Oryctolagus cuniculus: one gene and its partners. The protein of the gene in region 1 purifies or fractionates together with the protein of each later gene. This does not show direct contact. Links are inferred from orthologs where the notes say so. Each region holds a gene or a part of one and is shown on either strand. Other genes may lie near its edges.

Evidence for each region.
Region 2: the proteins of MPHOSPH6 (region 1) and EXOSC1 purify together in Homo sapiens (affinity purification with mass spectrometry; 5 studies listed by BioGRID and IntAct, counting the BioPlex papers as one, with this or other methods). This does not show direct contact. The link is inferred for Oryctolagus cuniculus from reciprocal best matches to the Homo sapiens genes MPHOSPH6 and EXOSC1.
Region 3: the proteins of MPHOSPH6 (region 1) and EXOSC6 purify together in Homo sapiens (affinity purification with mass spectrometry; 3 studies listed by BioGRID and IntAct, with this or other methods). This does not show direct contact. The link is inferred for Oryctolagus cuniculus from reciprocal best matches to the Homo sapiens genes MPHOSPH6 and EXOSC6.
Region 4: the proteins of MPHOSPH6 (region 1) and EXOSC7 purify together in Homo sapiens (affinity purification with mass spectrometry; 4 studies listed by BioGRID and IntAct, counting the BioPlex papers as one, with this or other methods). This does not show direct contact. The link is inferred for Oryctolagus cuniculus from reciprocal best matches to the Homo sapiens genes MPHOSPH6 and EXOSC7.
Region 5: the proteins of MPHOSPH6 (region 1) and EXOSC2 purify together in Homo sapiens (affinity purification with mass spectrometry; 8 studies listed by BioGRID and IntAct, with this or other methods). This does not show direct contact. The link is inferred for Oryctolagus cuniculus from reciprocal best matches to the Homo sapiens genes MPHOSPH6 and EXOSC2.
Region 6: the proteins of MPHOSPH6 (region 1) and EXOSC8 purify together in Homo sapiens (affinity purification with mass spectrometry; 4 studies listed by BioGRID and IntAct, counting the BioPlex papers as one, with this or other methods). This does not show direct contact. The link is inferred for Oryctolagus cuniculus from reciprocal best matches to the Homo sapiens genes MPHOSPH6 and EXOSC8.
Region 7: the proteins of MPHOSPH6 (region 1) and DIS3L purify together in Homo sapiens (affinity purification with mass spectrometry; 3 studies listed by BioGRID and IntAct, with this or other methods). This does not show direct contact. The link is inferred for Oryctolagus cuniculus from reciprocal best matches to the Homo sapiens genes MPHOSPH6 and DIS3L.

Annotation. Positions count from the first base shown.
Region 1 is NC_091449.1:64,159,174-64,163,130, reverse strand, and holds the start of MPHOSPH6 (M-phase phosphoprotein 6), read left to right. Parts: upstream 1-1,157; 5' UTR 1,158-1,330; coding exon 1,331-1,381; exon of another isoform or gene 1,382-1,610; intron 1,611-1,621; exon of another isoform or gene 1,622-1,832; intron 1,833-3,957. UniProt on the Homo sapiens protein: RNA-binding protein that associates with the RNA exosome complex. Involved in the 3'-processing of the 7S pre-RNA to the mature 5.8S rRNA and play a role in recruiting the RNA exosome complex to pre-rRNA; this function may include C1D.
Region 2 is NC_091446.1:32,396,791-32,401,074, reverse strand, and holds the start of EXOSC1 (exosome complex component CSL4), read right to left. Parts: upstream 2,801-4,284; 5' UTR 2,677-2,800; coding exon 2,646-2,676; intron 2,539-2,645; coding exon 2,423-2,538; intron 1,312-2,422; coding exon 1,237-1,311; intron 1-1,236. UniProt on the Homo sapiens protein: Non-catalytic component of the RNA exosome complex which has 3'->5' exoribonuclease activity and participates in a multitude of cellular RNA processing and degradation events.
Region 3 is NC_091449.1:56,939,879-56,942,863, forward strand, and holds EXOSC6 (exosome complex component MTR3), read left to right. Parts: upstream 1-1,314; 5' UTR 1,315-1,388; coding exon 1,389-2,204; 3' UTR 2,205-2,485; downstream 2,486-2,985. UniProt on the Homo sapiens protein: Non-catalytic component of the RNA exosome complex which has 3'->5' exoribonuclease activity and participates in a multitude of cellular RNA processing and degradation events.
Region 4 is NC_091441.1:102,789,516-102,793,015, reverse strand, and holds part of EXOSC7 (exosome complex component RRP42), read right to left. Parts: intron 2,750-3,500; coding exon 2,648-2,749; intron 2,364-2,647; coding exon 2,269-2,363; intron 1,821-2,268; exon of another isoform or gene 1,724-1,820; intron 1,718-1,723; exon of another isoform or gene 43-1,717; intron 1-42. UniProt on the Homo sapiens protein: Non-catalytic component of the RNA exosome complex which has 3'->5' exoribonuclease activity and participates in a multitude of cellular RNA processing and degradation events.
Region 5 is NC_091432.1:233,342,137-233,346,421, reverse strand, and holds the start of EXOSC2 (exosome complex component RRP4), read right to left. Parts: upstream 2,801-4,285; 5' UTR 2,746-2,800; coding exon 2,624-2,745; intron 1-2,623. UniProt on the Homo sapiens protein: Non-catalytic component of the RNA exosome complex which has 3'->5' exoribonuclease activity and participates in a multitude of cellular RNA processing and degradation events.
Region 6 is NC_091440.1:77,082,283-77,086,512, reverse strand, and holds the start of EXOSC8 (exosome complex component RRP43), read left to right. Parts: upstream 1-1,430; 5' UTR 1,431-1,553; coding exon 1,554-1,570; intron 1,571-2,841; coding exon of another isoform or gene 2,842-2,857; coding exon 2,858-2,894; intron 2,895-3,092; coding exon 3,093-3,156; intron 3,157-3,817; coding exon 3,818-3,891; intron 3,892-4,230. Other genes in the region: ALG5 (dolichyl-phosphate beta-glucosyltransferase), read right to left, coding at 404-680. UniProt on the Homo sapiens protein: Non-catalytic component of the RNA exosome complex which has 3'->5' exoribonuclease activity and participates in a multitude of cellular RNA processing and degradation events.
Region 7 is NC_091443.1:89,283,800-89,287,299, reverse strand, and holds part of DIS3L (DIS3-like exonuclease 1), read right to left. Parts: intron 3,249-3,500; coding exon 3,105-3,248; intron 2,107-3,104; coding exon 1,937-2,106; intron 1,104-1,936; coding exon 942-1,103; intron 1-941. UniProt on the Homo sapiens protein: Catalytic component of the RNA exosome complex which has 3'->5' exoribonuclease activity and participates in a multitude of cellular RNA processing and degradation events.

The DNA of each region.
Region 1 (3,957 bases):
CAGTCTCCCAGTCACAGTCACAGCTGGAAGTACCAAGAATGAGGACTTTCAGCATATTAATTTGGGGGGACACAATCCAGCCTATGACATGCTCAACTCTATTGTTCCCACTTGGCAAACTCTGGTAAGAGGGCCTTTGTCTCGTTCTCAAGACCTTCATAACTTCTGTTCCCTCTTTTGAGTGCACTCCTCCTCCAACTCTTCATATAATAGGTTTTTCTCAATTTTCAAGCCTCAGTATCATCATCTGGTAAGGGTCATCCCAGACCACCTTGGTTGAAAGAAGCCTAAAAGTCACTCTATCACATCACTGTTTGCTTTCACCCATGGTACTCACCCCTTACTAACGTCCAGGGTGTCAACTCCAGGAAAAGGAATTCATGTATTTTTATGCACTAATGTACAGCAGTGTCTCAGTGAACTGTGAATGAAAGTTTTTGTGATTATTGGGCACATTATAACTTTATTTATTCCATTAAAAAAAAAAACCTGTAGGGTCTTTTAATACTCAAAACGCTTTGCAAAGCTCAACTTTTTAACATTTAGCAGCTGTGCAAACTCCAGGGAATCCCTTCTCTTTGGGTCTGAGAGTCCCTAACTACACAATGACAACAATATTTTCTCCAAAGGACTAAATAAAATAATCAGGTAAAGTACCCAACTCAAGAGTTTCACAGATACTGCATGTGATTAGCTGAAATTCTACGAGGTTAGATGTTTCCCAAAGTGTGGGACCTGAGAATGATGTGGGGAAAAAAATTCATAGACTTCGGGTGGCAAATAACGGAGCATCAGAGCTTTTCATTTTTCAATTGCTTGGATTAGAATAGGGTCTCTTCGGAGTCAGCACTGTGGCGCAGTGGGTTAAAGCCACAGCCTGCAACGCGTGCAACCCACGTGGGTGCTGATTCGCGCCCCGGCTGCTCCACTTCTGATACAGCTTTCTCCCTACGGCCTGGGATAGCAGTGGAAGACAGCGGTGTAGACGACTAGATGGCAAACACGCCAGAGGCCTCCCTCGGGCCACAAAGGGCGGGAAGCGGACCCCTGAGGCGGCGCGGCCCAAGTCACCGGGGACGGGCGCACGGGCCCCTTCCGTGTCCGGTCTCTCGGGGGTCCGCCCACCGGGTACCGGCCGTTCTCGGCCCCGCGTCGCCGAACCGCCGCCTTACCAAGAGCGCCTCAGGCGGCGGGACCCTCCCTGAGGGACGGCGCCCAGCGCCCGGCCCGCGCCGGAGCGCGAGGTCTGGGGGCGGGGCGACGCACGTTACGTACGACGACGCAGCGCGCACGCGGCAGCACGCACGCGCGGCGCCCCGCGGGAGCCAGCATGGCGGCCGAGCGCAAGACCAAGTTGTCCAAGAACTTGCTGCGCATGAAGGTGCGGGGATGCTGGGGGAGCCGGGCTGGGCAGTAGGGGACTCCGGTCCTCCAGACCCGCCCGGGCCGGCAGCGGGCGTACGGAGAGCACCAGCGGGGGGCCCAGGGGGGCTGCCGGCTGCTGGGTCATTCATTCCCTGAGCGCCTGCCCCTGCGCTGGCACCGGGAACTGAACTTCCCCGTTTAGCCAGACTCGCCCCTTCAGCCCGCGGACAGGAGCCGGCACTTCCGTAAGCAGGCAGGAAGCCCACGGCGTTCCGAGGGCAGGGTCGGGAGGCGCTGGGCGCCGGGGGCTGCTGGCCGGAAGTGTGCGGCGAGGATGCCGCGTCCTGAACCGAGAGGAAAGCGAGGTCGGGAGGGCGAGCGGCGAGAGCGAAAAGCGGAATGTGTGCACTCGTAGGAGCCGAGGGGAATTCGGAGTGCCTGGGGGCACGGAGGGAGTTGTGGGCCAGGTGAAGACTGGTTTTCCGTTCGTCTTGTGAGCCGGGGAAGCTATGGGGCGCGAAGCTGTCAGCTTCTCCGGCTGCTTTGGTCCTGGGGAGAACACGTTGGTGGGGGAAAGCCAGGCAAGGGGCAACAGTGGAGTCAGACCCGCTAGAAGCCCTGGTGAGCCGAGTAAGGGGTGAGGGTCGCAGGGGAGGTGGGAATGAGGTGAAAAGGGTGGGTTGTGTCACCCCGTTTTAAATCGGGTTTTGGATTTGAAACTGAAGTGATTTTTATATTTGAAATGGAGTCAACCTAATTGTAATTTCATAGTGGAAAAGTTAAAAAGGAGGCAGTGGATAAAACGAACCCGGGAATGACCACAGGGAAGCAGCAAAGCCTGAAGACTTCATTCATGGCTCTTAGTCTCTGCTGTGTGCCAGGTGGATTTTAAGTGTCTTGCATCTATCTATTAGCCCATGTAATTTACATAGTAACCCTCTGAGGTGGCTACAGCCATTATCTTTCTTGTACAGCTGAGGCAACCAAACAGCAGTAGGTAACTTACCGCAGTTACACAGTGACTGAGTACTAACTTGGGCATCCAGGTCCTGAACCCCTGATCTTAAGTACTACCCTTTGCTGCCTGTCACTACTTCTGGATGCAGACTGTTAGATGTCGTGCCTATATAGTGCTGGAATGTCCAGGAAAAACAAGGCATCAGTAATGGAGAGTAAACAGCGCTTGTGCAAGGTGTGACTGGCGTTCAGGATGTACCAGGATGAGTACTGGATGGAGTCAAATTGTTGCGTAACTTACAGCTGGTAAAGTTGTCTCATACATGTGAGCAACATGTGAGTCTTGACTGAATAGACTTTTCTTTTGTTGGTGGTTTGTAATCGTCGATTTCAGAGAAATGGAGTGAGTTGATTGAGCACACATTGAAAAGATTTTAGTGTTTCATTTAGTTCTTGTAATAGGCCAAGTGAAGATGTGCTGGTGAACTAGGGCTGTGTCTGAAGAGCTGACTCTGCAGTTAACAAGAAGGAAATGAACTTAAAACAGTTACTACCCCCATCCAAGCAGAAGGGAAGAGGAAGACTTAACTGGATGTAGGAGCAGAGGAGAGGGCAAAAAAATTATCCACATTCTCTATTTGGGGTTAGCAGCTTTGGTCATTGGTAAGAAAGAGCTTATTGATAGGATGGCAGGAGACACTAAACATGCCGATGGAGTGGAGTGTCCTGCGTGAAGGCATGGGGCATCTGTGCCCCGGATATGATTATAGCTGCCGTAACTGTTCAGCTAGAGCCAAGTAGAGGGCAAGTATGAGAGCACTGACTCATTTGTTTTCAGTGTTCTTTAACTCTTTTGATTGAGTTAACTGTTGGAGGAGGAAGCTCTTGGTGGGAAGTAGAAAAAGAAGGATACAGGTGGAAAGTCACTAGTAGGACCCAGTGATTGTAGAGAGGATGTGTATTTGCAATTTTAACTCTTTTGGAGTCTTAGGACAGGACTTGGTGAACTTCTTTGTTTGTTTGTTTCTTAAGATTTATTTGAGAGGCAGAGAGAGAAAAGTCTTCCATCTGCTGGTTCACTCCCCAAATGGCTACGACAGCCAAAGCTGGGCCGATTCAAAGCCGGGAGCCAAGAGCTTCTTCTGGGTCTCCTACACGGGTGCAGGGACCCAAGGACTTGGGCCATCTTCTGCTTTCCCAGGCCACAGCAGAGAGCTGGACCAGAAGTGGAGCAGCCAGAACTCAAACTGGCACTTATATGGGATGCTGGCACCGCAGGTGGTGGCTTTATGCCTTACGCCATAGCGCTGGCCCTGAACTTTGTCTGTGAAGGGTCAGATAGTAAATGTTTTTAAGCTTGTGAACTAGGCCAAATGAGCATGGCTATGTTACAGGAAAACTATATTTGCAGCACACATCCAGCCTGCTGTGGGCCTCAGTTCTGAGTGGAGGCTAGACCACTGGCTTTGCCGTGTGTTCTCAGATGCTGGGGGGTTAGGAGAGTTTGGGAGAAGCTTGATTCATATTCACAGGGTGTTCTGTCATTTCCAGATCTACAGAATGTATCATAAAAAACAGCTACTTGATCATAATGGGAGATCAAAGGTCAGTTGGTCAGGATTGATGAGTTTGACC
Region 2 (4,284 bases), on another chromosome or scaffold:
TTTGGTCTGGCCTAGACCTGGCCATTGCAGCCATTTGGGGAGTGAACAAGCAGATGCAAGATCTTTTCCCATCTCTCTCTCTCTAACTCTGCCCCTTCAAATAAACAAATAAAATCTTAAAAAAAAAAAAGACTCGGCCGGCGCCGCGGCTCACTAGGCTAATCCTCCGCCTGTGGCGCCGGCACACCAGGTTCTAGTCCCAGTTGGGGCACCAGATTCTGTCCCGGTTGCCCCTCTTCCAGGCCAGCTCTCTGCTGTGGCCCGGGAGTGCAGTGGAGGATGACCCAGGTGCTTGGGCCCTGCACCCCATGGGAGACCAGGAGAAGCACCTGGCTCCTGGCTTCGGATCAGCGCTGTGCGCCGGCCGCAGCATGCTAGCTGCGGCGGCCATTGGAGGGTGAACCAACGGCAAAGGAAGACCTTTCTCTCTGTCTCTCTCTCTCACTGTCTACTCTGCCTGTCAAAAAAAAAAAAAAAAAAAAAAAGACTTTACATTTAATAGGAATTCCAGAGAATAAAGTCTTTTGCTTCTCTGCAGAAAAAGGCCGCAGCCACAGATGTTCAAAATTAGGTCTCCTTTTCACCCATTTCCTAGATGTTGGAGGGAACCACAAAGTCAGGGAATCGGCTCAAATAACTATGCATACCCAAATTTTGTTCATTTTCCTAGAAATCTCCAGACCACTCAGTCCAGTGAGACATTCTGTGATGATAGAAATACCATGTGCTGACCAAATTAGCAACCACTAGCCACAGTAGCTACTGAGAGCTGGAAATGTGGCGAGTGGTTAGTATGCTTAATGAAATGTTAGTACTGTCTAGCATATTTTGAAATATTTATTTGAGAGACAGAAAGAAAGAGAACACTTCCACCCACTGATTTATTCCTTAAGTGCCTGCAGTGGCTGAGGCTGGGAGTCAAGTACTTAATCCAGGTCTCCCACATGGTGGTAGTAGCCTAACTACTTGGGCCACCACCTGCTGCCTGCCAGAGACTGCATTAGCAGGAAACTGAAGTCAGCAGATGGAGCCAGGGATCAAACCCAAGCATTCCAACATGCGATACAGGTACTTCAACGATGTCTTAGCCGCTAGGTCATATGCTTGCCCTGACACTGTTAAATTTAAATAGCCATATGAGGCTAGTGGCTATCAGACTGGACAATGCAGTTCAAGAATGATCATGCTCTGTGCACTGGGTTGGTGTCCTAAGCATGGAGGCTGGTAACAACTTACCTTACATGTTACAATAGAGCCCACATCTGGAAGTAATTGGGATTCCGCTTCTCTCATCACAGACACTACCGGGAGCTACAAAGAGAACAGTAAAAAATGAATGTTCTGGCTAAGCCCTGAGTAAAGTGTGGCTGGAGAGTTCGACAGGAATGCTGTGGCACAGAGTTGAGGTCACAAGGCAGATGGACTATGGATTCATTTACAGTCCAGGACAGAGGGTCTTCCATTAGGAAGAGCCCCGGGGGCCCTGGCAAGGCTGCTGTAGAAGACATAAGTTAACCATTCCAGAGCAGAGTTGGTTTTTTGGTGACTTGGAATTTCTCAGTACACCACTATATTACCTGTAGCCATGGATTTGATTCTGACCTCCAAAGTCGCACTGTTTCTATTTCTTATTTTATTGCCCGGCTAACATTTCTAAGTGTTTTATAATACTGGATACTGGTTTCCTTCTATCTTTAGAGAATATCTGTAGGGCTTTCTTTCTGAGCAAGCACGTTCTAATTCTGAATCCTTTTTCTCCTGTGCTACCCATCTTTAAGCTGCTCCTTCCAAGACTGCGTATCTGATCGGGAGCTGGTCCTGGTTTGATCTCTGGAACTGGCCAGGACAACATCGCTCATGTATTCAACTGACCATCTGCCTTGTGCCGGGCACTGCAGGTAAGGTGGGTGGTGCGGCCTGCTTGCGTGGAACTTTGGGCGTTTGCAGGCTGAAACAAGTGCTCGGAAGTGAGTTTAACAAAATAAAAACAAGACTCAACCTCCCCCACCCCCACCCCCGCCAAAATCCCTTCCAAAAAGTGATACGAGAGGCTAGTTGAACGAGGTCAGAGTTACATAGACCGAGGAGAGGCGCGCGTTCAGGCGGATGGCAGGAGACACGGGGGAAGCAAGCCAACTGCACTGCGGGCAGTGCCGCCGAGCCGGATGAAGACGGACAGGTCGGGACTACTCGGGCGGGATTCGGCTGGCTGCCGGATTGGCCGGGGTCACTCTCAGCTCGCAGCTGCCCCTAGGGGTCGGCAGCCCCAACCGCGCGAGGTCCACACGACCGGTGTGCGGCGCCCACGGCCAACCGAGACCAAGTCGTTCTACAGGGACGCGCCTGCCCTACCCGGGCCTAAGGGCCGGAACTCAAGGGCAGTCCATGACAAAGAAGGGAGATGGCCAGCCGCCCCGCGTACCGCGCCGTTCTCGCTGGTCTTCGTTAGACAGCCGGCGAGGGAAGAAAAGATGTATCCGTGCCGTGTGTAGGTGCCGCTGCCTGGGCTGCCCTCCTCCAAGTTACACAGACGTTCGCCTGCGGAAAGAGCGCTGCATCGGTCACTGGTCCCCAGAGGCTGCTAGGCGTCCTGCCTTCCTGCCTCTGGCCCTAGCCGGGACTCCGTACGGGAGCCGTGCACTTACCGGGGATGCAGTACCTTACAGGTGGCGCCATGACTGCCACTGTCCCAGAGCCCGGATGGAAACGAAGCCGACGTCTCGTTGGCCGAACCCAGACACAGTGCTGCAGTAAGGAACGTGCCAATTGGCGGGCTTTGTCACGTGCCCGGCGACACGCCTCCTGCAGGGCAAACTCCATTTCCCAGGTTTCCCCGGGAGAAGGCCGGGGGCGGAACTTCGGGCTCGTGTGCCTGCGCCTGCGCCTGCGCCTAGGGTTGAGGATGGGCAGGCGGCGGGTCCGGGTCCATTGGCAGGCGCTGCGGCTGGCGGGGCATGGTGGGACGGATTGAGCCAGGCCCGCCCGGGGCGCCAGGCTGGAGTAGGTGGCAGTGAGCTGCGGCCGAGGCTGCGGGGCGTGATTTGGATGATCGAGGAATTGGCAGGCGGCAGGTAGGGGCGAAGCCGTGGCCCTTGCTCCCTCTCATAGCCCCTGTTTTGTAGGGTCGGGCCCTGCCCCAGGGCCCTGTCTTGAGTCTGGTTTCTTGCTCTCCTCGCCCCGCCCTGCAAGGCCGAGCAGTCCTCGGGCGAGGCGCACCCTCTGGGCAACCATAACGCACAGAGCAGAAGTTAACCAACCCAACTTGCCCATTTCTCAGATTTGGAAATCCAACGCCAGGGTTTGACTTGTCCCGAGCCTTGAAGATAATTCAAGATAGAGCGCAAGCCGGATCCAAGCTTTCGGCTTCCAGTGCATCGCGGTTTGACCATGCCGCCCTACCTGAAAGATAAGGCTCGTTCTGCAGCTGTAGTTGTCCGGGCCCTTCTTTAACTTTTGACGAACTGACCCGTGAGAAAGTTGCTACCCTTTCTCTTAGCGGGTTAGCCAGGAAGGGAAGTGGGCACGTGAGTAAGTTGCTATTCTTTACTGACTTCTGACATCTCTTGCATGAGCTTGCACACATCCTGAGAGCAGCATCTTTGTCTAGATGAGATTGGCACGACTTTGATATTTTTTTAAATTTATTTGACACAGAGACAGAGATCTTCCATATGCAATGGAAGCAGGATTTTTTTTTTTTTAATTAATTAATTTGAAAGGAAGACATGGAGAGGAGGAGAGAGATCTTCCATCCACTGGCTCATTCCTTAAATGGCCGCAATGGCCAGGGCTGGGCCAGCCAGGAGCCAGGAGCTTCTTCCGGGTCTCCCACGTGGGTGTAGGGACCCAAGCACTTGGGCCATCCTCTGCTACTTTCCCAGGCGCATTAGCAGGGAGCTGGAATGGAAGACTGAGAATGAGAGGCCAAGGAGGGTGTTAATCACTGCCAGACGCCTGCCCCTGACGTTGGCTGCTTCATCTCCCTTCCAGTGGCTTTGGAATCTGTCCCCTCGCCTCCCCCCATTGGTTTCCCCTTGGGAACAGATGGCGCTTTAGAGCCCTGGGAAGAGGGAGGTGCCTTGGCCTGTAGTCTCCTGTAATATGATGGCAGATGGCCACGAGAGCCTGTGGCTGCTGCTGACAGGAGGACTCCGGTTGGTGCTTGGTGCAATAGTAGAACTGCCCTTTGCTCTGTTCCCTTCTCTCTGCACTGAGATTGCCCCTTCCTCAGACGCACATGATGTTTGGAATTTTGCTTCGCCTCGGGGGAGAAGTCCATTTCGT
Region 3 (2,985 bases), about 7.2 Mb from region 1:
ACCCGAGGCTTCTGGGTCTGCAGGTGGGCACTTGTGCTGCAGAGAATAAAGGACCATGTGCAATACTCATTGATGCCTTCTGGTCATTACCTCCCAGCATGCACCCCTGCTGACAGCTCTTGGCTACCCGAGGGTGTGTAAAACATGCTGACTCCAGCTCAGTCCAGCCCTAAACCCTTGAACTCAGTGTTTGTGGAGACGGGGGTGAGATGGAGAGAGAGGCTCTAATAATTCAGTGGTCCGAGGGGTTACAAAGCAAAGGTGCGCCTGGAGAACCTCCATTGTTTTTTTCTTTTAAAGATTGATTGATTTGAAGGGCAGAGTTACAGAAAAGCAGAGAGAGAGAGGTCTTCCATCCACTGGTTCACTACCCAAAGGGCTGCAGTGGCCGGAGCTGTGCTGATCCGAAGCCAGGAGCTTCCTCCAGGTCTCCCACGCGTGTGCAGGGGCCCAAGCACTTGGGCCATCTTCCACTGCTTTCCCAGGCCATAGCAGAGAGCTGGATTGGAGCAGCTGGTCTCAAACTGGTGCTCACATCGGATGCCAGCCCTGCAGGCGGCGGCTCTGGCTCATGTCCCTCCCCTCCCTCTGAAGCTCTTCATGTGGGGTCAGGGTATGAGGCTGGAGGGCAGTCTCTGGTACAGAAGATGTTTAAGGTGCAGCTATTGCCTCCTACTCTAGTGTCTGCCCATCACTCCCACTTGACCCAAAGACACTGGCCGGTCTCTGAGTCCAGTTTCCCCAAGTCTAAAATGGCAGAGTTTGGAAGGTGAAGGTACTGCTTGCCTGTGCCAGCCCCAACGGATGTCCTGTCCTCTGGATACAGCGGCTGGCCCCAGAGCCCAGGTCACGGTGCTGCTGACAGTGGAGGGAGAAGGAAAAGCAGGTGCATGCTGGGGTGAGGGGCGGTTCTCAGGGTGGGAAGGGGAGGCAGAAAGGGGGTGTTGATGTCCGTGTTAATGATACAAAGAGACTTACATAAAGCCAGTGCTGGAGAGAGATTCCATCCATCATATAGGCCTTCGTGCCAGCCAGGGGCTTGGGAGTGAGCAAGGCCAACTCCCCGGTGGGGACATATAAAATAGTCCCACAGATTAGTGCAAAACTAAGATAACTACAGCCTGCATAAGTGAGAAGACTAAGCGCTCGGGTAGGACCTGGCCTGGGAGACAGTCAACCGGCCCGTCCAGCCCTGGGCAACCTTGCTGCGGCTTCAAAGCCTTGGCGCCGCAGCCGTTCTCCCTCCACGGCGCCAGGGGGCAGTGCAGCCGCGACTGCCTGCGGCTCTCCCGACAGCCCCCGCGCGAGCGCGCGTCTTCAAGCGGGCGGAAGAGCCGGAGCGCGCGGTAGGACGACGGGCGGAAGCGGTGTGCTCGCCAGGTGCCGCCATGCCCGGGGACCACCGCCGCATCCGCGGACCAGACGAGTCGCAGCCGCCGCAGCTGTACGCCGCCGACGAGGAAGAGGAGCCCGCCGCCCGAGACCCGACGCGGCTGCGGCCGGTGTACGCGCGCGCCGGGCTGCTGAGCCAGGCCAAGGGCTCGGCCTACCTGGAGGCGGGAGGCACCAAGGTGCTGTGCGCCGTGTCGGGCCCACGCCAGGTCGAGGGCAGCGAGCGAGGGAGCGGCCCTGCCGGCGCCGGCGGCGAGGCCCCGGCCGCGCTGCGCGGCCGCCTGGTCTGCGATTTCCGCCGTGCGCCTTTCTCGGGCCGCCGGCGCCGGGCGCCTCCGGGCGGCGGCGAGGAGCGCGAGCTGGCCCTGGCGTTGCAGGAGGCGCTGGAGCCGGCCGTGCGCCTGAGCCGCTACCCGCGCGCGCAGCTCGAGGTGTCGGCGCTGCTGCTGGAGGACGGCGGCTCGGCGCTGGCCGCCGCCCTCACGGCCGCCGCCCTCGCCCTGGCCGACGCGGGCGTCGAGATGTACGACCTGGTGGTGGGCTGCGGCCTGAGCCGCGCGCAGGGGCCCACGCCCGCCTGGCTGCTGGACCCGACGCGGCTGGAGGAGGAGCGCGCCGCCGCCGGCCTCACCGTGGCCCTCATGCCGGTGCTCAACCAGGTGGCCGGGCTGCTGGGCAGCGGGGAGGGCGACGCGACCGAGACTTGGGCCGAAGCCGTGCGGCTGGGCCTCGAGGGCTGCCAGCGACTCTACCCGGTGCTGCAGCAGTGCCTGGTGCGGGCCGCCCGCCGCAGGGGCGCCGCCCTGCCCTGAGCCGGCGGGCGAAGTGGAGCCGCGAGCGGACAGAGCGTGCGGAGATGGACAGTTGCGTTGGAACGGCTGTCGACAGACGAACGTTTGACGATCTTTCCAGTCCCCAGCCAGAAGCCAGCGCAGGAAGCCGCGGGCTGCTTGCTTACTCCCGAGCTGGGAAGGACTTGAGCCGGCCTGGTCCGGAGCGCGGGATCTGTGTGACTCCGGAGACGATGGACAGGGCGCTGCGCCTTCTCACAGCGGGACTGAAACAACAAAACCGTTTTTTTTTGTATTCGAAATACGCGTGTCGTGGTTCTTAGTACAGGATTTTCAGAGAGAGCAAGGCTCCCTGGCGGTGAGGCTCAGGACAGCACTGCCCCGCCTGTGTCGTGTCCCTTGGACCGGTGAGCCGACCAGACGGGCCAGAATCCTGAAGCAGCTGCGGGTTTAGAAGTGGGCCGTGTGCTTGGCAGGAAGACACGCCGCCGCCTCCGGTGCCCGTGAGGGCGGCTGCTGCGCCGGGAGGAGAGTTGGACGGCCCGGGAGCACTCGGGGGTCCCGGAGCTCATGGCTGTGCCGCGAGAGGCCCCAGCGCAGGGTTCCCGAGAGCTGGAAAGGGTTTTGCTGGGGGTGGAAGCCGGATCCCAGCCTTCCGTGGCCAGGGCCACAGCAGTCCAGTCAAAGGCCTGCACTGCCGCTGAGTGGGCCCCTGGGCTGCCTTCATCTGCCCGTTGTCCAGCCTGAGCCCCTGGGGAGAGGGCGGGTGAACTGGCTTCTGGGAAAGCAGAGGAGCATGGCT
Region 4 (3,500 bases), on another chromosome or scaffold:
CAATGAGAGGGAGGAAGCAGAAAGCAAATCACAGTTCCTCACCCGGGCTGCCTGCTCCTCAGAACCATTTACTGCTCTCCATCGGGCAGATCCTGGCCAGGAGAGGCAGTCTGCTTCCTCCAGGAGCATCCACAGGAACCTAGAGAATGGGCCATCTGCAATTCAGACTAGTGAGAGCAGCTAGGAGGAACCAGAAGCCAGTTGAAATGGTAGCAACCGGCTGGAAGGATAACTGAGCAGAAAGGTGACCGTGGACAGCTCCTGACATCCAAGTGCAATGTTCCTGAGAGCTGGCCTCTGTAGGCTGCATGAGAATGGACAGACCTGAGCTGGCATTTTTAGCTATGTGATATTATGGAAGTCTCTTACTCTCTGAACTCCATTTGTCATCTCTCTCGAGATGACAGCAGGAGTGCTGTGAGGACCACCTTTTGTGTAACTCACCACCTGAACATGGGTTAGCACTGTACAAAGCGCGGACACGGTGGCAAGGGGAGATTGAGAAGAGCCTGTCTGTGGGCTGGCCCTTGGCTGGCATCTGGGAACTTGGCTCTCAGAGTTCCCAGTCAACAGCAAACTGATGGGGCAGTGCACTGTGCGAGACCATGCAGTACGGGTCATGCTAAACACCTGCTCTCCTAGGATCCGGAATCTTGGGATGCATTAAACAGAGGGTGTCTATGTGACCAGCACCCAGCAAAAACCTGGGGTGCTCAGTCTCACGGGGTTTCCTAGACACAAATGTCACAAGTAGCTGGTGTACAAGGGCACTTCGAAAAGGCTATAGGAAAATGGTATTAAAACATTGTGAGGGGCCGGCGCCGCGGCTCACTAGGCTAATCCTCCGCCTAGCGGCGCTGGCACACCGGGTTCTAGTCCCGGTCGGGGCGCCGGATTCTGTCCCGGTTGCCCCTCTTCCAGGCCAGCCCTCTGCTGTGGCCCGGGAGTGCAGTGGAGGATGGCCCAGGTGCTTGGGCCCTGCACCCCATGGGAGACCAGGAAAAGCACCTGGCTCCTGGCTCCTGCCATCGGATCGGTGCGGTGCGCCGGCCGCAGCACGCCGGCCGCAGCACGCCGGCCGCGGCGGCCATTGGAGGGTGAACCAACGGCAAAGGAAGACCTTTCTCTCTGTCTCTCTCTCTCACTGTCCACTCTGCCTGTCAAAAAAAAAAAAAAAAAAAAAACAAAAAAAAAAACCATTGTGAGGGGCTGACGCTGTGGCACAGTGGGTTAAGCTGCCACCTGTAACACTGGCAGCCCATGTGAGTGCTGGTTCAAGTCTCTGCTGCTCCACTTCCTACCCAGCTCCCTACTAATGCTCTTAAGAAAGCAGTGCAAGATGGGCAAAATGCTTGGGCCCCCACCACCCACGTGGGACACCTGGATGGAGTTCCAGGCTCCTGGCTTTGGCCTGGCCCAACCCCTGCTGTTGCAACCTCTTGGAGAGTGAACCAATAGATAGAAGATCTCTGTCTCTCCCTCTCTGTAACTCTTTCAAATAAACAAATCTTTTTAAAAAATTCTAAAATCCATGCAGTGTGTCATAATATGTATTTTCCACACACATTCTGAAGACTGCTCCTATTTTCATTGCTATCATAAATTGTAGCCAGGAGTGCAACTACGTGCTAAGCCCTGGCAGCCAGTCTCCAAACACGGAAGTGGCCCTGGGGACGCCCAGCGGAGCATCAACACCAAACACCCACATGGAGCAGGAGCTTACCTGCTTCAGGAAGGCCTGCTACAACCACCTGCTTCTAGAAACATGGTTATAGACAGAAGAAGGGACCAGGCCAGCAATCCAAAAACACTCCCAACCCCTAGAGGGGGAGATAACAAGAGGGAGAGAAATAACTTTTAAAAAGATTTATTGAAGAGGCAGAGAGAAAGAGACAGAGAAGCACACTATCCCATTAGCTAGTTGATTCTTCAAATGCCTACAAGAGCCTGGGCTAGGCCAAGGGTGAAGCTGGGAGCCAGGAATGCAATCCAGGTCTCCCATGTGGGTGGCAGGAACCTCATTACTTGAGCCATCACCACAACTTCCCAAGGTCTGCACTGGTGGGAAGCTGGAGTCACTAGATGATTAAAACAAGGGCAAGGCTCTTGAGAACCCGGCAGGTAAGACGAGGCAAGTGAATACCTGCCAGATGGCCGAGCGACAACTAAATGCAAACCAAGAGCATGCGCCACAGGAAACCAGGGGTTCCCATTCTCCATCTGTACCCGTTAAATCACCCCCTCTGAAAGCACTGCATTAGTACTGACCAGTCAACAAAGAACTCCACGTAGCCCTCATCTGGCTTCTCCAGCTTTGGCGTCCCCATTTCCGCTTTCACTCCCACCAAGATGTCGGTATGACCCTGCAGACACAGACGAGAAGGGTCCTCACTGGAGGCAGGCAGCCAGGCACCCAACCACCAGCCTCCTCTTCGGGACATGTAGCCCTGAAGGACTTGGCAGGTGACTTCCGAGGAGGGGAAGGGTGTTTCAGATCTGAATGGACCCCCCTCCCTGAGCTGGGCTTGGACCTTGGATGTCCCCAGGAGCAAGCTGCATTCCAAAAGCCGCAAGGGCTCCTCTGCACTGGCTCCCTGGGGCCTACCCATGTCTCCACCTGGGAATGAACTGTGGCCCCAATACTCACCAGCTTGACCCTGGCAGACCCACTGGTGTTGGACACCACATCGGTTTCCACTTCGACACATCGGTAGTCTTCACAGCCACGGCCATCCACACGGAGGTCTTCCTGAGTGCAACAACCACAGTCCTAAAGCTGTGACCCCAAAATGACCGGACTCCTTGACCCATCCGCTGCTGTCTTTCCGCTCGAGAAGTATACAGTGCTTCTCCCTTCCTCTTAGTGGGACATCCAGAATTCCGTCCTCTGAGCTAATATTACCATAAGGGAAATGGAGACGTGGGGGGCACTAAGAGTCTCACTGCAGGTCCTTCAGCTGGTGTGTCTGGCACTGCAATTCACAGGATGAACCACCACCAGAATATGGACCCAAAAGTCAAACCCAAACAGGTTTGGAAGCTTTTTTCTTTTTTTCAGAAAAAGAATCATTAGTTTATAAGTTATTCAAAGGAGCTGATGTACCACCAAAACATAAAAAACAAAAAAAAAACCTCCCCACCTGCCCAAGGCCAGCATTGTGACATAGCGGGTAAAGCCACCACCTGCAACACCAGCATCCCATAGGGGCACTGGGTCTAGCCCCAGCTGCTCCACTTCTGATCCAGCTCCCTGCTAATGCACCTGTGAAGACAACCGAATGTGGCCTAAGTGTCTGGGTTCCTGCCACCCACGTGGGAAACCTGGCTAAAGCTCCTGGTTCTGAGCTTTGGCCTGACCCAGGCCTGGCCATAGTGGCTTCTGGGGAGTGAACTAGTGGATGGAAGACCTCCCTCTCTAACTCTCCCTCTAATTATGACTTTGAAAATAATAAATCTTGGGGCCGGTGCTGTGGCGCAGAGGGTTAAAGGCCTGGCCTGAA
Region 5 (4,285 bases), on another chromosome or scaffold:
CTGCCGCCGTATCCCCAAGCACGCTCTCCATTTATGCCTTATTTGTTGCTGTTTAAGATTTATTTATTTATTTCAAAGGCAGAGTGACAGGGAGACAGACAGACATATCTTCCATCCCTGGCTCACTCCCCACATGGCTGCAAGGGCTGGGGCTGGGTCAAGCCAGGCCAGGAGCCCTGAGCTCCACCAGGTCTCCCACGTGTGTGCAGGGCCCAAGCCCTTGGGCCATCTTCTGCTGCCCTCCCAGGCCACAGCAGAGAGCTGGATCAGAAGTGGAGCAGCCGGGACTCTAACCTGGGCTGGGATACGGGCTGCTGGGGCCTCAAGCCATGGCCTAACCCCTGGTGCCGCAACACTGACCCCACTCCTTGTCTGCTGTTGTGCTAACGTATTCCTTTTTCTTTTTCTTTTCTTTTTTTTGACAGGCAGAGTGGACAGTGAGAGAGAGAAAGGTCTTCCTTTGCTGTTGGTTCACCCCCCAATGGCCACCACGGCCGGCGCACCGCGCTGATCCGATGGCAGGAGCCAGGTGCTTTTCCTGGTCTCCCATGGGGTGCAGGGCCCAAGCACTTGGGCCATCCTCCACTGCACTCCCTGGCCACAGCAGACAGCTGGCCTGGAAGAGGGGCAACCGGGACAGAATCCGGCGCCCCGACCGGGACTAGAACCCGGTGTGCCGGCGCTGCAGGTGGAGGATTAGCCTAGTGAGCCGCGGCGCCGGCCAACATATTCCTCACTATCTGTGTCTCCCCAGACGCCAACTCCGCCAGGACAGAATTCATTTTGTTCACTGCTACACCCAGACCACACGGACTACAAATATATGGCGAAAGTACGAACACAGGAATGAATTTTAACATTTCGGAGATTCCAACAACCTCAAACTTGGGGTGGGGCCAGCAGGTTGGGCCTCCGCCTGCAGCGCCGGCATCCCATGTGGGTGCCAGTTCAAGTCCTGGCTGCTCCACTTCCCGTCCAGCTCCCTGCTATGGCCTGGGAGAGCAGCAGAGGAGGGCCCAGTGCTTGGGCCCCTGCACCTGCCCGGGAGCCCCGGGAGAAGTTAGGGGAGTGGTGGTGGGCGTGCAAGTGTTCAGCCTGTAGCTAAGAAGCCGGCCTCCCACATCTGGTGCCTGGGTCTGACTGCTGGCTCCGGCTTCCTGCGAACACAGACCCGGGGAAGCGGCAGTGACAACTCAAGCGACTGGCTCTCTGCCACCCACGTGGGAGACCCACGTTGCGCTCCTGGCTCCTGGCTCCAGCCAGAGGGTTGCAGGCAGTTGAGAAGTGAAACAACACTCTGTCTCTCTCAAAAATAAATAAGCAGGGGCCGGCGCCGCGGCTCACTTGGTTAATCCTCCACCTGTGGCACTGGCATCCCATATGGGCACTGGGTTCGAGTCCCAGTCACTCCTCTTCCTGTCCAGCTCTCTGCTGTGGCCCGGGAGTGCAGTGGAGGATGGCCCAAGTGCTTCGGCCCTGCACCCCATGGGAGACCAGGAGAAGCACCTGGCTCCTGCCATCGGATCAGCACAGCGCAAGGCCCATGGCGGCCATTGGGGGGGTGAACCAACAGACGAAGACCTTTCTGTCTCTCTCACTGTCCACTCTGCCTGTCAAATAAATAAAAATAAACAAATATTGATGCTGAAGATGATGTACACCCGGCAAACGTGCATTCCTACAAAAAACCAAGAGGCTGAAACACTGCCAGTGCTTATCTCTGCCGGCGATCTAACGGTGAGTCTTGTATCTTTCCCATCCGACCCTTCAGTAACTCCCGTCAGAAATTCTTACAGATCAGGAACCGGACCTCTGATAAGGTGACTGGCAGGCGGGGAGCCCCCCTTGTCCCCCAACTACAAGGCCCTGCACTGCCCTGCGGCACAGCGTGTATTCATGCAAGGTAGTTCATGCAACCTTGAGTCTTCCTAAGCCCACACAGGAACGACCCCTACCCCGGGCCCAAGCTGGGTGGGGGGCTCAGGGAGGAGGAGGGAAGCCAAGTCTGCCCTCCGTCCGCCCCCGGCTGGGAACCGCAGGGTCCCCGACTTACCGCCCCCGCCCCCGCACACCGCCGGGACCCGCGGAGTCCCCTTCCTCCCGCCCCCGCCCCCAGACACCGCCGGGACCCGCAGAGACCCCGACTTACCGCCCCCCGCCCCCGCCCCCAGACACCGCCGGGACCCGCAGAGACCCCGATTTACCGCCCCCGGACACGGCCGGGACCCGCAGAGACCCCGATTTACCGCCCCCGGACACGGCCGGGACCCGCAGAGACCCCGATTTACCGCCCCCGGACACGGCCGAGACCCGCAGAGACCCCGACTTACCGCCCCCCGCCCCCGCCCCCGGACACCGCCGGGACCCGCAGAGTCCCCCTCCTCCCGCCCCCGCCCCCGGACACGGCCGGACCCGTAGAGTCCCCTTCCTCCCGCCCCCAGCAAGGAACGCCCAGAGATCGGCGCTTCAGACCCCCAGAGTCGGGGCCGCCAGAGTGCAGGCGAGGCGGCGTCAGGGACTCGTCTCGCAGACGACGCCGAGGGGCTGCCCTGGGCCCCGGTCGGGCCCGCAGATCACGTGCAGAGCCCTGCGGCCGCCCCCTGCACCCCGGGGCCCCCCGTACCGCATGAAGCCCGTGTCCGTGGTGATCGTGTCCCCCGGCACCACCAGGTGCTTCTTGGTATCACGCCCCAGACTCTCGCTGGGAAGCTTCCTCGCCACCGGAAGGCGCATCTCCATCGCCATCTTGGCGCCAATAACCTGCGCAGGCGCAGCTCGGCCCGGAGCCGCGGAATTCAGCCCGGCAACTCCGAGAGGGGCGGTCTGGGGCGGGGCCTCAGGGCAGCCGCCAATGGGAGCGCACGGTGTGGCAGCCATGTTGACTACTGGCAACCGTTATGTTAACCCGAAGGGGAGGAATGCGGAGTTTCCACGTTTATTACTGGCAAGGGTGCACCTGTGGCGTGATGGCATTCCACAAGCTATTGTTTGTGGCTTTTTATCAAAGCTGTCTGGTACTGCCATCCTGCTTATTGTTTACCAGCGTTAGACGTAATTGAGGAATGGGCCTCTGAGTTTCCGTCCAGCTCTAAGCCGCTAAAATCTGATTTTTGTATGACAGCGCCCAGGAGGACACGATTTCAACAGAAAGCATAGCCATACTTTCTTTTTTTCAAAAGATTTATTGGGACTGGCGCTGGGACGCAGTGGGGGTAAGCCGCTGCCTGCAGCGCTGATTTCCCATTGGGCGCCCAGCTGCTCCACTTCCCATCCAGCTCCCTGCTGATGCGCCTGGGAAAGCAGTGGAAGATGGCCCAAGTGCTGGGGCCCCTGCACCCTCGTGGGAGACCTGGAGGAAGCTCCTGGCTTCGGCCTGGCCCAGTTCTGGCCCTTGCAGCCATTTGAGGAGTGAACCAGTGGATGGAAGACCTCTCTGTCTCACTGTCTCTCTGTCTCTCTCTCTCTCTCTAACTCTGCCTTTCAAATAAATAAATGCTTTTAAAAAGACAGTGTTTAAGGAGCCAAGCAATTTCTAAAGCAGTGTTCCAAGTTTAGGGAAAAAAGATTTATTTGAAGGGCAAAGCCACAGGGAGAGACAGCGAAAGATCTCCCATCTGATGGTTCACTCCCCAAGTGGCCAGAAACTAGGAGCCAGGAACTCCCCCCACAGGTCTCCCATGCAGGTGCAGGGGCCCGAGCACTTGGGCCATCCCCTGCTGCTTTCCCAGGAGCATTAGCAGGGGGCTGGATCGGAAGTGGAGCGGCCGGGACTTGAACCTGCACCCACATGAGATGCCAGAATAGAAGGTGATGGCTTAACCCATTGTGCCCTGGCGCCAGCCCCAAGCGCCCCACTTCACACTGTTCCCAGTGGCCCCAGTCGGTCAGAACAGCCGCCTCACGGCTGCTGGGTCAACCCAGCCCGCACCCCCACCCACAGGCAGCACGCCGGACACTGCTGAGCCAGCTGACTTCTCTGAAAAAAGAGAAAGAGAAGTGAAGCGAAGCAGGCCACACCCCGCGAGGCAGGTGTGTGTGGTGGAGAGGGCAAATGCGCACACACAACCAAGGCCTGCACCTGCGTCTGTGCCCACAGCAGCCTCCGCCCGCGTGCCGGGCACTGCCTGTCACGTCACAGGAGTCCCTGCCGGTGGAGCGATGCCTGTCCCGTGTGGTCTTATCTGCCACTCCTGCTTAAAGGAGCTGTGCCTCCCGGCCCCTCCTCATCCCCTCCCCCTCCCTCCTCGTCCCCTCCCCTCCCCCACCTCCCTCTGCCCCTCCCTCC
Region 6 (4,230 bases), on another chromosome or scaffold:
CCATCAGGATCACAGGGCACATATTAGGGGGTCCAAACGCCCTCGGGGTGGGGTGAGGGCAGAACTGCAGAGGCTGCAGGTGCAGGAAAAGCAAGTCTGGAAGATGGAAGCATAGGTCGAGGCTGGCAAGCTGGGTGGGCAGGGGGTCTCGGACCAGGGGGCGAGCAAGGCCGGGACGAGTGTATGGGTTGGTGAGTCCAACGTGGCAAAGTTTACAGGGTCCCGGGCACAGAGTTCCAAGGACAGGAGGAACTGAAATCCAGGAGATGGAACTGGAGTCAAGCGGGGAGAAAACGGACTAGTTCAAGAAGCCGCAGCACCCAAAGAGCGGACGCCCTGGGCGCCTGCGGCTGCAGGGGAACGGGGAGCCCAGGCCCGCGCCGCTCCCGACCCCTGTCCTCACCAGTATGAGTGCTGCGGCCGCAAGCGCCACGCCGAGCACCGCCAGCTGCAGCAGGAGCGGAGCCATCCTCCATGCCGGGGCCGTCTCCGCCGCCCTCCCTATCCCGCAGCTCCACACACGCGGAAGTGCGCCCGCGCGGGCCCGCCTCCCGCCGCCAGAGAGGCCGCGGCGGCCGGGCGCCCTCCGCCCACAGCGCCCCCGCGCGGCCACGGCCGGCCGCGACCCGGGCAGGCGCCGACGGCGAGGACGCGCCGCGCGGCTGGGCCAGGCGCTGCATCCGCGGAGAGGCCGCAGACTGCAGGGCGAGCTGCGTTCGGTAAGTCAGGTGCACGAGACGTCCGCTTGAGTTTCAGCTCAACAACTAATAATTTTAACGGCCTTGAACTATGTAACTCGCATACGGTGCAGTCCACGCATTTAGAGGTATGGGTTCTATTACTATTTTAAAATTCAGGTTAAACAGATTTGGCCGTTTTAACCATGTGGAGTGCACAGTAGAGTGGTGTTGATTACCTTCGGAACTCTGTGCAACCATGTCTATAGCTAAAACTTGCCCTGTTCATCCCAGCTCCTACTGACAACTAAGGACATGCACTCCTACTAGAATGGTCAACCTTGTTTTCCCAATCTTCATTCAGATTTAGTTGGGTGGCCTGTACTGGACCTGGCAACCCTGCCTGGGAGGCAGGACATGGTGGATTAACGCACACTGCTCCAGCTCCTGGGCTTGCACAGTGTAACCTGGAGAGCAGCACGCATTTCCGAGGTGCAGGAGCTGGCAGCCCCTCACCTGGGCCTCGCCTGAGATGGGGAAGAGACACGGGAGCTGCGCACGCACTGTGCAGCCCTTGGTATAAGCTGTTGTCTCTTAAACTGCTGGCGTTATTCTGAACCCTCAACCTTTCCTAAAGAACACCCTTTCACTTCTCTGATGCCAGATTCGTCAAAATACGTGCAAGGCAAGGAAACCTAGAGGCGCATCCGGCTCGGGAAGGCCAAGGCCAAGCGAGCGCCACCACGATACCGCGCCGCCAAGCGCACCTCCAGCGGCTGCGGGAAGGCCCCGGCGACCGCCGGGACGTGAGAGCTCTGCGCAGGCGCGCGTGCCGGTGGGCGGAGCGGCGCAGGCGCAGGCGCGCGCGCGGGGAAGATGGCGGCCGGGTTCAAGTGAGTGTCAGTGTCTGGCGGGCCCGAGTTGTGGACTCTGGCGCTTGGGGGTTTCCCCAACCCTTAGTTAAGATTTTTCTCGCCTGGAAGTCGACCCCGCCAAGGTCCCGTTTTTTTCCCCGCCAAAGCAGGCGACAGGCGGGAGGACCTGGAGGTGCCCCTGAGTGGAGACTGGGGATGTAGGGACTGGAGCGCGTGTGAGCCCGCGGTGCAGGGAACGCGCACCCGGGGGACAGTTCTGTAGCCCCGCAAAGATTGTTGCATCGAGCCCCCTGTGCCCGGTCCTCCGGGTCGCGTAGTGTGTTTCCGAGGGTTGTGCGTCCTTCAAAAGGTTTGACTTCAAGCCTTTTTTGGGTGCTATTCTGTTGAAGCCTATTGACTCTCCGAGTAAGATGTTTTCTAAGGTTTTTTTTTTTTTTTTTTTCACTTGGGAGACATATGGATAGAGCTATCCATCCTCTGGTCCACTCCTCAGATGTCTGAAGCTGGGAGCTGGACAGTCCCCTCCAGGTTTCCCACGTGGGTGGCAGGAACCCAAGTACTTGAGCCAGCCCCTGGGTTCCAAAGGAAACAAATCATATTGAAGTTATTATAAACTCTTTAGGATATAAAATTAGCTTTCTTAAGTAGTAGGGCGTCCAGTAACTCCGGGAATTTCAGAGTAAAGATGAACCTCAACATGCACATGAAAGTAAAAAATCAGAACATTATCTCTGCTAAAGTTGTAGGTACTGCTGTTATTATAATGGTTTATTGCATGTTTGCAGTCATAACTGAACTCTATGCTAAAGTGTATGCTGAATTTCAGTTACAATAAATGAAGATGTGGCTTTTTTCATGATCACTAGGTTAAGAATCCCTGTCTCAGAGCAAAAGTGATTATTAAATGATTATTTTAACTCATAAATTAATCCTCTTTCAGACATGTCAAAGGACTCTGGATTCCAGTGCTCTGTTTGTTTAAGACAGTTAAAGGCAGCAATGGGGTGTGATTGCTACTGTAAGGGTATATACTTTTTATAATTACAAGGTTACTTCAAAAGGTTCATGGAAAATAAAAGAAAAATTTATTTTCATGCTCCAAATTTTGAAATCCATGTAGTTTTTCTAATACACACTTTTTTTAAAACTTTTTGAAGATTCCCCCATACTTGCAGGCAGCAACATGAACATCAAAATGCGCAAAAGAAACTTAGTTACAAGTTGTGGAGGTTTATGCTGTATCACATTTTAAAATTCTTTGCCAGTTAAGACTCATTAATTTACTTCAGTATTAACGTGTTTCAGAACTGTGGAACCTTTGGAGTATTACAGAAGATTTCTGGTGAGTAAAGGTGGTTATGTATGTGCTATTTTGATAATATATTATTACAGTATATATAATATGTAATATTCTTTTAAAGACATATTCCAAGTAATTTAAATTCATTTGCATTAATGGGGTTTAATGTGTCTCCCCTGGTGTGTGTAAAATACACATGACAATATAACATAATCTCTTATAAGTAAACTTTCTATTTAGAAAGAGAATTGTCGCCCTGATGGAAGAGAACTTGGTGAATTCAGAACCACAACCGTTAATATAGGTGAGGATGTGTTTTCCAGCTACAACTGTATGACATTTGCAAGTTTTAGCCTTCTGAACCACATACATGGTTTTTGAGCCAAATTTATCATATCCGAGGGATTTTTTTTTTTTTTTTTGACAGGCAGAGTGGACAGTGAGAGAGAGAGACAGAGAGAAAGGTCTTCCTTTGCCGTTGGTTCACCCTCAAATGGCCACTGCGGCCAGTGCACCGTACTAATGCGAAGCCAGGAGCCAGGTGCTTCTCCTGGTCTCCCATGCGCGTGCAGGGCTCAAGGACTTGGGCCATCCTCCACTGCCTTCCCGGGCCACAGCAGAGAGCTGGCCTGGAAGAGGGGCAGCCGGGACTAGAACCCAGTGTGCCGGTGCCGCAGGTGGAGGATTAGCCTATTGAGCCGTGGCGCTGGCCAATGATTTTCTGTACTATTCAGACTGAAAAATTGATTCAAATTCAAGGATAGGTGAATAATTCTAAAAACATTAATTTAATTTGTTATACCATTTTAAAATCAGTTATTCAAACTTGGAATCAGTTTTTGCAAGCAACAGATACGTAGCAAGATAATTACACATGGCAAACATGAGACACAGAGTTTTAATACTTATTTAGGTAATTCTGTAACTTTTCCTTTTAGAGACTAATCATTCTGTTTACTTTTCAGGTTCAATTAGTACTGCAGATGGTTCTGCTTTAGTGAAGCTGGGAAATACTACAGTAATTTGTGGAATTAAAGCAGTAAGTTTAACATGTGTCCCATTGAGATTTGAGCTACCAAATTAGCTTCCTGTATTTATTAAATTGTAATATACACCTATACCTCTGTGATTAGGCATTCAGGTATGTTTTTTAGTATTTAGTTGCTCAAAAAGCTTTTACCAGTGAGTACTAGATCATATGACTCAAGTTTAATGACTCTTACGCAAATCTGTCAAATGTACTAAAATGAAGCAACTTTTTCAATCCTCATCCTTAATTTTAAATAATATATCAGTTAAGAAATTGAGGGAAGTGTTTGGTGATGCCTTTTAATAGTGAGTGATGGTATGTAATCTGCATAAATGTGTAGAAAATTGA
Region 7 (3,500 bases), on another chromosome or scaffold:
TTTCTCTCCCTGTCCCTGTCTTGACCATCAGCTTGCAGTTAGTTGAGGCTAACAGGGAAGAGAGAATTCTTGTCCTGTGACCTCTAAACCCACTTTATGGAATCATTCTGTAAGAGCTGCCAAACAAGTCAACAAAATACTACTGTAAAACATGAAAATTTAAACGACATAAAGCAGTCTCAAATATTTGACAATTATAGCTCTGGATCAGCCAAAAACTCATACCCCTAATGGCAGTGCAAGCTGGGAAACAGTCTGCCAACAAGTAACAAAGCTACTTCAACATTCTATGCCCTTTGACTTGGAAAAGGTAATCCTTACCGTGAGATTACCAAGGGAAGGATTGACCAAATTAACGTATAATGTTGCTATAAATGAGAAGTAGCATTCTATACTGAATAGAAATAACAGGCAAATAGCCAAATGGCTGAGCATGCAGGGGCACAAATACAGTAATTTACCATCAACTTTTAAAACCAAGTAGGTTTCTTTTGCTTAATTATTACACATTGGCAGAGCCTATCAGTGAATAGCACATTCAAGAGAATAGCTTATTATCTGTTTCTAATGATGTGAAAGTGATGGAAAAGCCAATGTGTTGTGTTTGTGGGCTTTCTGTTTTCTGTAAAGTTTAAGAAAGCTTCATAATGAGCATTGCTTTCAGACCTAAGGCTCAGACATGCATCCTGTTGCTGGGGTTGAATGATGGGTAGATGGGGCTCTGCTGGGGATACAACCAGCTATCCTCGAATTGCCAGGTGGACCTATCCTGACCGTGAGACACTGACCTGCCACTTTGAAACATAGTTGTAGGACATACAGATTTGAGAGCTACACTTCAAACTGACTTGGGTCTGATCGAGGGTTATCTGTGGCTTCACAGTGGGTCGCTGTGTGCATAACGTGTCTGTCGTTAGACCAAAGGCCTCCGGGAATCTGACCTGGGCTTCAGAGAAGGGCCGCTCGGAAATGTCATGTTCCATGAGCAGAGACTTCATTTCCCCTTCCAGGTCTCCGCCTGTTCCCAGGGTTCCTACGACGTGTCCGTCTGGATACCTCGAATCCGTGTCCCAGGAATCAATATGTATAATTGCTCTGCAAAACTGCAGGAGAAGGTACATAAATTATTAGCCTCGCATCCAGGGTTCCGTGGGTTATTAAAAGCATTAGCTAACGAGAGATCAGAGACAGTTCTATAGAGGGTGGCCAGTCTGCAGGGTGGTGTGTTGCTGGCGAGTTTGACTTGCCAGATGGTATGGTGCACACTTGCAGCACAAGCTGTGAACACAATGGTGCAGGGTTCAGGGAAAGTTCTAGAACCTAGGTCTCAGATTGTAGGAGGTATTTCGAAGTTTTAAGGTCCTTTTGGGTGGGGGCATCAGTGTCAACAGGACCCTCACTGTCTAGCAGTTTCAGCAAGCCATTGAAACAGGCCTCTGGGAGCCTGTAACAGGGCTTAAGGTGTACAAGAGACAATGACCAGGCTAGTGGGCTGCATAGCTGGAGGCAGGTGATGCTGGACAGTGCCTAGTCTTGTCTTCCCTCCCACCTATATTCCTTCACAGATAATCGATTCTCTGAAGAGCTTCCACATCATCCCTACAAGGCACAGGGCTTGTATTTCTACCTTGCTTGCTGGAAGAAAGCTAGTTAGTGTTGGCAAGGTACAGCTGTTGGAAGCTTCTCCATTGGTCAGAATAATGTGTTTTCTCTCTGGCTGTCCTACAGAGTGCTTTCTAGGACACTCAAGCCTTCATTTATTAGCCTTAGACTACTTAATAGATGGTACCTATATATTTAGAATTTAACCAACAGTACCTTGGAGTGCCAGATGCCATCCATAATTTATGAGCAAAGGAATTAACAATGCTTTCTGGCACTGATCAAGAAGCTGGCAAAGACAGAAGCAGGGCAGCCATGGTGCAGTGTCCTTTACCTGATATTTTTCAGCTTGCTTCCTGCTGATTCGAATTCTGGGGATCCTATAATCCCATGGCACAGCAAGGTATTTCTTTGTTTTTCTGCTGTAATATAGTATGTCTTCCTTTGATGGGAATGTTACTATGTAATCCCGCTTATGTTTCTGAGTAATGCCCACCACATGTCCTGTGGAAAACAAATCACAAGGGTTAGCCAGCTAGCTGCCATCTAACTGTCCCTGTCCCATTTTTCCAAGCACTTTCACTTAATTCAAGGGAATCTGAAGATTTGCCTTCTTAGCAATTTTAAAGATGTAGATGCCCGATTTTTTTTACATGGATAATTTTGGTAGTTTTCTATGGGTTCGGAGGTGACATTTGGAATCCAGTGGTCCTGCTTTTTCCTTTACCATTACCTCACTGATTTCGGGTTTCAGTATCTTGGAAATGTCAAATCATTTTCACCCTTTTTTTATTGAAGAAATAAACTTGTTGCGGCCAGCACTGTGGTATAGCTGGGTGAAGCCATAGCCTGCCAAGCAGGCATCCCACGGTTGCCTGTTCATGCCCTGGCTGCCGATTCAGCTCCCTGCTAACGGCCCAGGAAAAGCAGCAGAGGATGACCCACGTGCAACCCCTGTAGGAGACCTTGATGGAGTTCTTGGCATAGAACTATCACTTTTCATTTCAAAATAATTAAACTATTTAAATATGCTTATAGAGAGGCAGAGAGAATGAGTTCACATCCATCTGTTAGTTCACTCCTAAATACCCACAAGGCTAGGGACAGCAAGGAGCCAGAATCTCACTCCAGGTCTCCTATGCGGGTGACAGGAACCTGACCTGGGCCATCACCACTGCCTCCCAAGTATTAGAAGGAAGCTGGAATCTGAGCCTATATTGAACCCAGGTATTTCGATGTGGTATGCAAAAGGGCTGGAGGTGGCAGCTGCTTTGAATAACGAACAGAGCACAGGCTGGAATGCAATGAGAACTTGTTTGGGGAAAGTGGTAACCATGTGTCCCATGCCGTTTACCTCCTCGATGCAGCCATTCTACAATATGTACATACATCACAATTTGTCTGCCACTTTAAATAAAATTCCTTATTCTTGGATTGCTAATGAGAAAGAAATACCCAATTCTGTACAAAGGTTGGATGCCAGGGTGGCATCGCTGGCTCACCTGTGGGCACATATTCACTGTAGCCCTCGTGATCCGCGCCCATTCTCCTTTTCCAGAGTGATTCAGGGAACATTTTCACTGCTACCCGGTCTCCGTGGAGCGCGCGGTTCCGGGGATTTATCCCATCGATTAAGATTTCATAATCTAGTGTTTGGGGCAGCAGAGAAATCGTGATGTCAAGGGGGCTTCCACTCCAGGGAGGCTGAGTCCCCCTGTTCACCCCCTCACCCTTTGAAGGCAGAGCCACACTTCTGTGCTTCTGCAGGATGGGGCTGGAGGCCTTCTGCTCTCCTCGGGGCCACTTCCTGCCCCTCTCCTGCCCCTCTTCCCACCCATTTCATGCTCCTTGCACTATCCAGGCTTTTCCCTTTCTCCACCCATAGGTCATTATGAACT